Linked DNA regions of Neurospora crassa OR74A. The protein of the gene in region 2 interacts with the protein of the main gene of each other region in a biochemical or structural test. Links are inferred from orthologs where the notes say so. Each region holds a gene or a part of one and is shown on either strand. Other genes may lie near its edges.

What was found.
Region 1: the proteins of NCU01695 (region 2) and NCU02661 form a complex in vitro, tested with the Schizosaccharomyces pombe proteins (2 studies listed by BioGRID). The link is inferred for Neurospora crassa OR74A from reciprocal best matches to the Schizosaccharomyces pombe genes seb1 and rpb7.

What each region holds. Positions count from the first base shown.
Region 1 is NC_026501.1:3,099,552-3,103,554, forward strand, and holds NCU02661 (DNA-directed RNA polymerase II polypeptide), read left to right. Parts: upstream 1-1,350; 5' UTR 1,351-1,923; coding exon 1,924-2,172; intron 2,173-2,240; coding exon 2,241-2,321; intron 2,322-2,399; coding exon 2,400-2,569; intron 2,570-2,634; coding exon 2,635-2,650; 3' UTR 2,651-3,495; downstream 3,496-4,003. Other genes in the region: NCU02660 (DUF962 domain-containing protein), read right to left, coding at 1-124, 196-279, 428-460.
Region 2 is NC_026502.1:2,700,346-2,704,633, forward strand, and holds the start of NCU01695 (RNA binding protein Nrd1), read right to left. Parts: upstream 2,811-4,288; 5' UTR 1,848-2,810; coding exon 1,719-1,847; intron 1,643-1,718; coding exon 1,397-1,642; intron 1,184-1,396; coding exon 1,081-1,183; intron 990-1,080; coding exon 1-989. UniProt on the Schizosaccharomyces pombe protein: Involved in the processing of pol II transcripts.

The sequences.
Region 1 (4,003 bases), on a different chromosome or scaffold from region 2:
CGACCGGCTCGAGGAGAACGTATAGTCCGCCCCATGTCAGAGCCGCAAAGGTGCCCAGGTTTGGCTCTAGGTACGGTACCTGAAGCCAGGAGGGGAGTGTGAAGAATGGTCCATAATTGGAGGCCTAGTTTGGAAGCATGAGGCGTGTGAGAACATGTCGCTAGGGACGAGGGAAAGTGGTTCAAGAATTCATACAATTTCAAAGGCTGAGAAGAGGATTAAAGGCACACAAATCATGTGGATGACTACATTAACGTGATTAGAGTGGTAAGCACCATACTGCAAGCAGGGAGAGGACAAGTTAGCAAAAGGCTCCAGTTCGTGAATTTCGAGCGAGGTGAAGTGGACGAAACAAGCAAGGGTGCCCGAGCAGGCCGACTTGGAGCATGTAGGTTAGAGCTTGGTAAACTCAGGCAACAAAGCTTACAAAGGTGAGTTGCTTTTCTAGGTTGAGGGACATGGTGAAAGTGATGCTTCGGATTTGCCCGGTATGATTAGGTTGGTGCTGTAGACAGCCTTGAGGTTCAGGGTGTGAATGGATGGCGAGATCTCGCTCAGTTCCGTGAGACCCGAGACAGGAGAGCGACAGTAGATGACAAGTCGAGTTGCGTCGAGGGCGACCAGTGAAGAGAGGAAATGAATCACTGCCACATGTGTATAAACGAGCAACAGGTGGAATTGGTAGTGTTCGAAAAGCAGAGCGTGCAGCTAATGAAGACCAGAGAGCGGCGGGATCTGGTGATGTGGGAGTCTGTCTGGTGTTCCACTCCGCATATCCATCTTCATATTCTCAGAGGGCTAAAAGCTACGTGTGGATGCCTCGGTTGTGGAGTCGCCATCAACAGGAACAAGGGAACCTGTTAAGGCTCCCGGCCGGCCCACCCCCGCAAACCCTCCAACTCGACGGCCACAGCGCTATCAAACGCATGCTGACAGGACCCGAACGTGCCCCGCCTCTGTCGGTGCTCCTACCGACGCGGTTACCTCTCGGTCAACGAACGTTAACGTCACAACCTAAAGTGGAAGGCCAACAGCTGTGGTGTAAGAAAGGTGATCAATCGTGAGTTACCCGTTTCAAGTCTTGTTTATGAGCGTTCTCATCTTTTGGCTTCTCGAACCACCATACTGTCTTTGCTGTGGCCATTCGAATCTTCCTTCTTAGACATCATTCGACAGTCTGTCTTTGTCACATGTTGAAACGGCATGAGCCATGGTACCTTTACTCGAGCTTACAGCTACATGAACGACTAAGGAACGCTGGGGGCTGGTAGAAGACACACTCCCTTAAGAAAAACCCGCTACATGATAGTACAGCAGATTATTTCACAAGCCTTACAACGAGCATCTTATGCCTGGTCTGGTTGAATGATATGATGGAATTGGGATATTTGGTGTTGAAGTTGTGGACAACACCGAATCCCGGCAGCGCCAAGACCGCTTCCGTGTGGTCAGTGCTGTTCCTTGCAGATTGTGCACGAGCCATGTGCTAAACGTCAAGGGACGAGTGACAGGCCAAGCTCGCAAGGCAAAGTCCCGAAACCGCGTCTGCGGCGGTCTCTGTGTTGGAGGCTACCACTTCCAGAACCTCCAAGCTTTTGTTCCATCATAGTCGATATCTAGTGTATTCCGTCAGCCTTGCTCTCCCGTCACGACGTCTCCCCACAAAACCAAGTATCACCTTCGACACGATCCCTACACCAACATTCTTGCTGTCGATTTTCGCATCTCGCCCTCACTGTCATTTTCGTCCCGACACGCGACTTCAATTGCCCAAGTCTCGACAGCACTGCCGCCGCCGTCGCACCCCTCGACACGACAGCCGCGCGAAGGCATCCCGAGGCGCATAACCTCTCCAGGGCATCGTCTTATCGACGCCCACTTTCAGCCGACGACACCCCGATCCCACAGTACTAACCCGCCACAATGTTTTTCCTCCATAACCTCGAGCGGCGGGTTACCCTGCATCCATCCTATTTCGGCAGGAACATGCACGAACTTGTCACGACCAAATTGGTCAAGGACGTGGAAGGGACGTGTGCCGGTGATTACTACATCATTGCCATCATGGATGCGTTCGACGTTAGCGAGGGCCGCATCCTCCCCGGAAACGGCCTGGCCGAGTTCACTGTGAAGTACCGTGCTGTGGTTTGGAGGCCGTTCAAAGGCGAAGTGGTTCGTTACAGCGAAGATTCTCGGTGGTGTTCTCTCCGTTCGGATGGTCTAACGAGGAGTCCCTACAGGTGGATGCTATTGTCTTTTCCATCAATCCTCACGGCTTCTTCTGCCAAGCTGGCCCGCTCTCCATCTTCGTTTCATCTCACGTACGATGACGCCTACGGTCTTTTTGGATACGCACATACGATGCCCTCGAACTTCGATCGCTGACAAGAGAACTATAGCTGATGCCCGAAGAAATCCACTTCGACCCCAACGCGACGCCTCCTCAGTTTACCAATAACGCTGATATGGTCATTGAGCCCGGTACGCACGTGCGCGTCAAGATTGGTGGCTTAAGAACGGAATTGGGTGAGATGTATGCCATTGGCAGCATCAACGGAGATTTCCTTGGGTGAGTTTCCACGTCTTAGCGGCGTGGTTGTGCTGTTTGTTATTAACCAGTTTCTTCCTTTCCAGGTGTCTGCAAGCATAAGGGACTTGCAAGATGCAAGAAGGTCATTCCCAAACGAAGGGTTTGGACTCGCTCAACTACTACGAGGTACTCGCTCAACAGAATCCTAGTGAAGCCACGAGTTAGAGTATACCCTGGGTTTACATCAACAGTTCTGGTCGGCTGATGAAGCCTCTGGCCCGGTCAAGAAGCAAGTCTTCTGGGCAATGCTGAAAGCCATCCGTATCGAGGGCCGTTTCAGGATCTCTGTGGCGGTTTATGAAGGATCATGTTTGCCCCTTAGCAGCGCGTGGGCGGCAATATGATCGAGCCCCTTGTTGTATTGCACGCGGGAGTGCGGCGGTAACACGCTCAAGGGCTTTCAAGGAGATGTCTCGTCCGAATGAGACTCAACGGGGTTGGTATTTTTGTCATGATTTGCTTGGGGTGCGTAAAACCTTTGTCTGTGGCGTTTTGAGGCATTATTGGGGCCACAAGCGGCGCCTGGAGTCTATTGACGGTTTTTTCTTTTTGAGGTATTTGCAGCATGCTTTCTGTGTTTGAGCGTGATTACTGGTATTTGGGTAACTGACATTATCGACGTATCTGCGACATGGAGGACATGTCGCTCTTAATACATGGGCACATGATGATGTCTTCAGAGTTTTGCGGGTACAATGCCTCAAGGTTCTCGGGTGCTTGGCTTAGACTGACCAACAAAAAACGACTGTCTGCGATACCACAGAGGGCATCTCGCGCGATTGTACTTAGAGGGAATAATCCTTGTTCAGCTAAGGTGCTCAGTTACCATGAGCAAAGACAGTATAAGAGACACCGCAGCACTCGCTTGGCTCATAAACTCGACTCCCCGGTCTATCTCCTGAACGTCTTGACTAGGAAGCATTCAGTCTCGGGCTATTATACCATGTGATGGTACCCAACGAGGTGGGATGTTGTGATGGCTCAGTTGCCGTGGGGGGAAACCTCCCATTTCAAGCTGACAACTTGGTGCGTGCCCATCTACGATCCTCCCGCAACATTTACAAGGACCTTGAAGCACCATATCTCAATGGTTCCATAATCTTCAACGAAGCGCGGGGGTTACGCAGCAGTGAAGACGTGGGGAAAAGAATAAAACGACAAGGGGGGAGGTTCATCCACTAAGTCGTCGAGTTGATACTATGCAGTAAACGTTTGGCCGGTGACCTGTCCATCGTGAGGCTACGATATCTCTTGACTTTGTGGAAGAATAGTATGGCCGAAATACGTCGGGCGAACTAGAGCAGAAGGGGGTAACAGTGGGGGCCAGATCGGTGTGAAGAAATCCCCAGAATGAAGTAAAGCGGAGGCGAGAAGTTGAATCGGGGTGTGGGCATCAAACACCAAAGAAAGAAG
Region 2 (4,288 bases):
TTTGACCCATTTCTCGGAGGGCGGCTCCTGACCCGGGCTCTCATGTCTACGGTTGGGGGGCGACCGTTGTCGGTACTCGGGAATACGCATATCCCGGTCTCTACCACGATCATCCGGATGGCCACGGGGCGGGGTGCTCCGCCCATAATCAAAGCGATCGTTACCGCGGGCTCGAGGCGACCCCCTGACATCCCAGCGCCGCGGCGAGCGTGAGCGAGAGCGACCCCGAGGCCTATTTGGAGACCTCATCCCATCATGATAGCCATTACGATCACGTGATTCATCATGTCTCACGGCCTCCCATGCAGGGGCAGCAGATACACCGCCAGCAGGGGGAGGAGGAGGATAGCCGGCATATAGAGGCTGAGCAACGGACTGGGGAGGTGCTGCCGGGGCGGTGCCACTTGGTTGACCCATCAGCTGCATTACACTGGCAATCTTGTCAAGAGGGATGCCCTGGGCGGCGAGGGCGGCGAACAGCTGAACCGTCGTAGCGGTATTCGCACTAGGGGCTGCTCCTGGCACTTGCACAGGCTGAGCTAGCTGTGCGGCCGGAGCTGGGAAGCCAAATGGCATCGTCGGTGGCATGTTCACCGACTGCCCCGCCGGCTGCGATGCTGATAAGTACGGCATACCCGGGTGCCCCACACCGGGAAGAAATCCGGCTGGCAATGCTCCATTGCTAGGCTGGCCAGAAGTAGCAAACATGGGATGCGGCGTGGAAGAAGTAACAGGAGGAATCTGCGGGACCCCCATTTGTACCGGAGAAGGGGCCACAGCCGCAGTTGCGGCCGGGGCGGGAGCAGGGGCGGCCGCGCTGGAATTACTCTGAGCCGCATTCGCATTCAAGCGGGCAAGATTTGCTAAGGTCTCCAGGATGTTGGACGGCATTACGGCGGTAGTTGTAGGCGTAGGGAGAGGTCTGCTAGTGGCCTGCAAGGAAGCCAGCGGGTTGGGAGGGGGACTGCCTGGTGGTGTTGTCGAGACATCTATCGGCACACGCTACAGTTAGATCAGGCAAACAACGAGCACCGCACACGCGTAAGGGAATATGCTTAGGAGGATCCGGGCAAAACCTACTGTGCTGTTGATGAGCATTCAGCTTCTCCTTGAAGGTGTTGACCATATCGGGAGGAAACGTCTGGCCCTTTTCCCATATGTCGACCAGCTTCTTGATCTTCTCCTACAAGACGATACGGGTGTGAGTTTATGAACAACATGATACTGGACACTAAATACAACCAAAAATGGATGCACGATATGGTCTAGGAAAGTGAAGACGACTGGTGTGGCCTGATCTTACAGCCGCTCCCAAGTGTGCTCGGGGTCTAGTCCGTTTGGCAGAAATGGAGGTATAAGTGTAAGACGGCACATGAGTGTGCGGTTGTGTGCGTACCTTTTGATCCTCGGGGGCCGAAGAGATGATGGCGTTCATGAACATGGGCATTAGTTCAGTCACTCTATGGACACCGGCAGCATAGGTGCCATCCTGTGCACCAAGGGTGACGGGTTGTTCAAGGGCCTTTGCCTTCTCCAACCATTTGCGGGTTACAGAATCTACGACGTATAGGACGCCCAGCTTGTGAGTGTTTGGTGTCTTCTTGTAGTGGGTATATAACTTCTGAACCAGCTGTGATTCGTACTGTCGAAGGATGTGTGGTTAGCTCTGGTGCCTCCATCGTGCATACTGTCGAGCCCAGACACGGCGCTTTTCTTACCTGGACGTTGTTCAAACACAGCATGGTGAGGCTATTGATTTTCGAGCCAGAGACACCGGGCGGTTTCAGGTTTTGCATGTCCCCGAGGCCCTTCTCTAGTTCAGCTACGGCCGCCTGTGACGACAACATGATGGATGATTTTTGTTTGAAAATCGAGCAAGACCAGCTGAAGTCGGCAATCAACTTGGCCGTTGGGCTTGGAAATACAAGCTGCGATGTAGTACGGTTGTGATACGGTGAAGGCTGATTAAAGGTTTTATGCCAATACCATGCTCCTTTGTCACGGGTGGAAAGACGGAGTACGTTGATTAAGGCTCAAACAGGTCGGCATCCAAGGTCTGCTTTCCTTGCTTCTCGACGTATATCACCGAGGTTACGAAGCTGCAATTTGCCCGCGCCACCGGGTACTCAGAAGAGAGCAGCTTGTACGAAGAGACTGTCCTTTCTGTGCGTCTTAAGACAAGCGCAGAAGCCGTAGGCCAGTGCAAAGTCCTAGCAAAAAAAAGAGAAGCCGAGAGGCCAGAGATATATGTTGCTGGCCGGCGTGTGTGCGAGCAAGAATACGGTGGTCCTTTTTATTTTTCTGACGTGACGCGCGAAGTGGAAACCACCAACTGGGGATAGCTGTGACGACGTGCAAGAACCGCAACGAAAGCAGCTGTACGAAGGGCAGACAAGATCAGGACTTGACCTGCGCGGATGTGATCTGGGCGCACCCTTTTACTGTGAGGCTACTAGAAAGTGAGAAAATCCAGGTGAGCGTGTGCTGAGTCGAGATGCATGGACAAATCCTGGGCGACTAGTCGATTACTGGATTGCTGGATTGACGAAGGCGGTCTCCGTTGGCGTTTAAGATTATTTTCGCTGATGACGACAAAAGCGTGATGTGGTGGTGATGCGAGAAGTGAGGAGGGAGTTGGGGTTGGAAAGCGGGGAGAAAGAAAAGTTGTCGTTGCAGAAGTAGAAGAAGTGGACTGGACGGGGGAGTGCCAGTGGTCGGTGGTTGGTGCAGGTATGGGTGGGTACTCGGCTGTAGTGGCTGCCCTGATCTTGACTCTGCTCGAGTCGTCTGTCGGGTTCGATTGCATCCGTTCGTCGCTTCGGTTTGCCTGCCCTGCTGCCTGTGTGCTGTGCTGCTGTGGCACCGTGGCTGTGATGCGTGGCCCGAGGGGAGGAACGAACTGGCAGGCACTTTTTCGAGCCACCCAATCACGCCTTGATTGGTTCGAATGACCCGCCTCGAACTGTTGTGACTGAAGGCTCGGAAAACCTTCTTTTTACAAGCAAACGAAAGCCTTGCAGAGAGGTGTCGGACGTGTTGTGGCCTGACGCACGTACCAAGAGCATGAGGCACTAAGGCAACAAAGCCGAGACGGATTGCGGTAAATTAGGAACCCCAACCGTTGATCCACATCCAACCTGAGATTGGATGAAGCCCTTACTGGAGTCGGTTGCGTGCTCCATCCGACTCTCCATGCAACCCCGAAGGTTCCACGAACATTGATGATGAGCGTTGAGTGTCGAGGACGTGCTAGGGAACAGATTGTGCAGGCGGGTTCATCTATTATCAATCCGTCCATCAATTGGCAATTCCAACATTGTTTTCTGGAAACCCGGAGCAGGAACGTTTCCACACCTGTCAAAAGGGGCGGCTTCCCCGGATGAGTTAGGGATCTCGCAAGGGCCAAGTACATACCTAGGTAGTCCCAAAGGCCCAAAGGGTGCCGTGACGTCAATGCATGCCGGTGTCGACATCGATGCGAGTGAACAAGCAGTTTTGACATCGCGATGTTGAGGTCTGGTCTGACAACCGCTGTCCCTCGAGACACATGCGATTGCAGAGACGCGCACATGATGTCGGTGCCGCAAGTGTTCAGCGTGGTCGTGTCCAGGTATTCTTCCGGTCTTCCGTCGTCGGCCATCCTTTTACCGCGCGCATGGACGGGAGGAGACTTGGGAACCGAAACACACGTGTGGGAGCCGCCCCGCGTTCGATCCTTAGAACGGCGTCAGCGACCCCCTGACCCGCTCGAGCTCGGCAGCTCGGCCAAGCTACCTCCACGTACATCCGGATAGAAACATTGAACCTTTGGCCCGCAGAGTTCCATGTTCAGCTTCATGATCCAAATTGACCACATTCAGGGCCGGATATTGTATCCATCAAAAAACGGAGATTTGGCGCCGGCCTCTACGGTGATTACGGTGTGGGCTTCTCCAGTCTCATACTCGCGGATTCGCGAGGGAAGAGGAGCATCTGCCTGTCTACGAGTCGGCCATTGTGGATCAAGCAGCGTGTCGTGTCACGAGCATCGCGGCCCGGTGTATTGTACAATACAACAACTTCGTGAGAGAACTGGCCCGAACACCCCGGTCCACTGGCCCGAGCAGAGTGGGAGCCCCGCCTATTTGCTCCCGCCCGTGAACATTATTGGATCCAATTGGCACTGGCAATTGCGGGCAATTCGCATCCAGTCGGGGCAGGCCAATCCCCCGGCAGGAGCGACGGGAGCAGAGCCCGCCAAAGCCACCTAACGGACCTCTGGACCTGCCCTGGTTCGCTGGTTGCGACG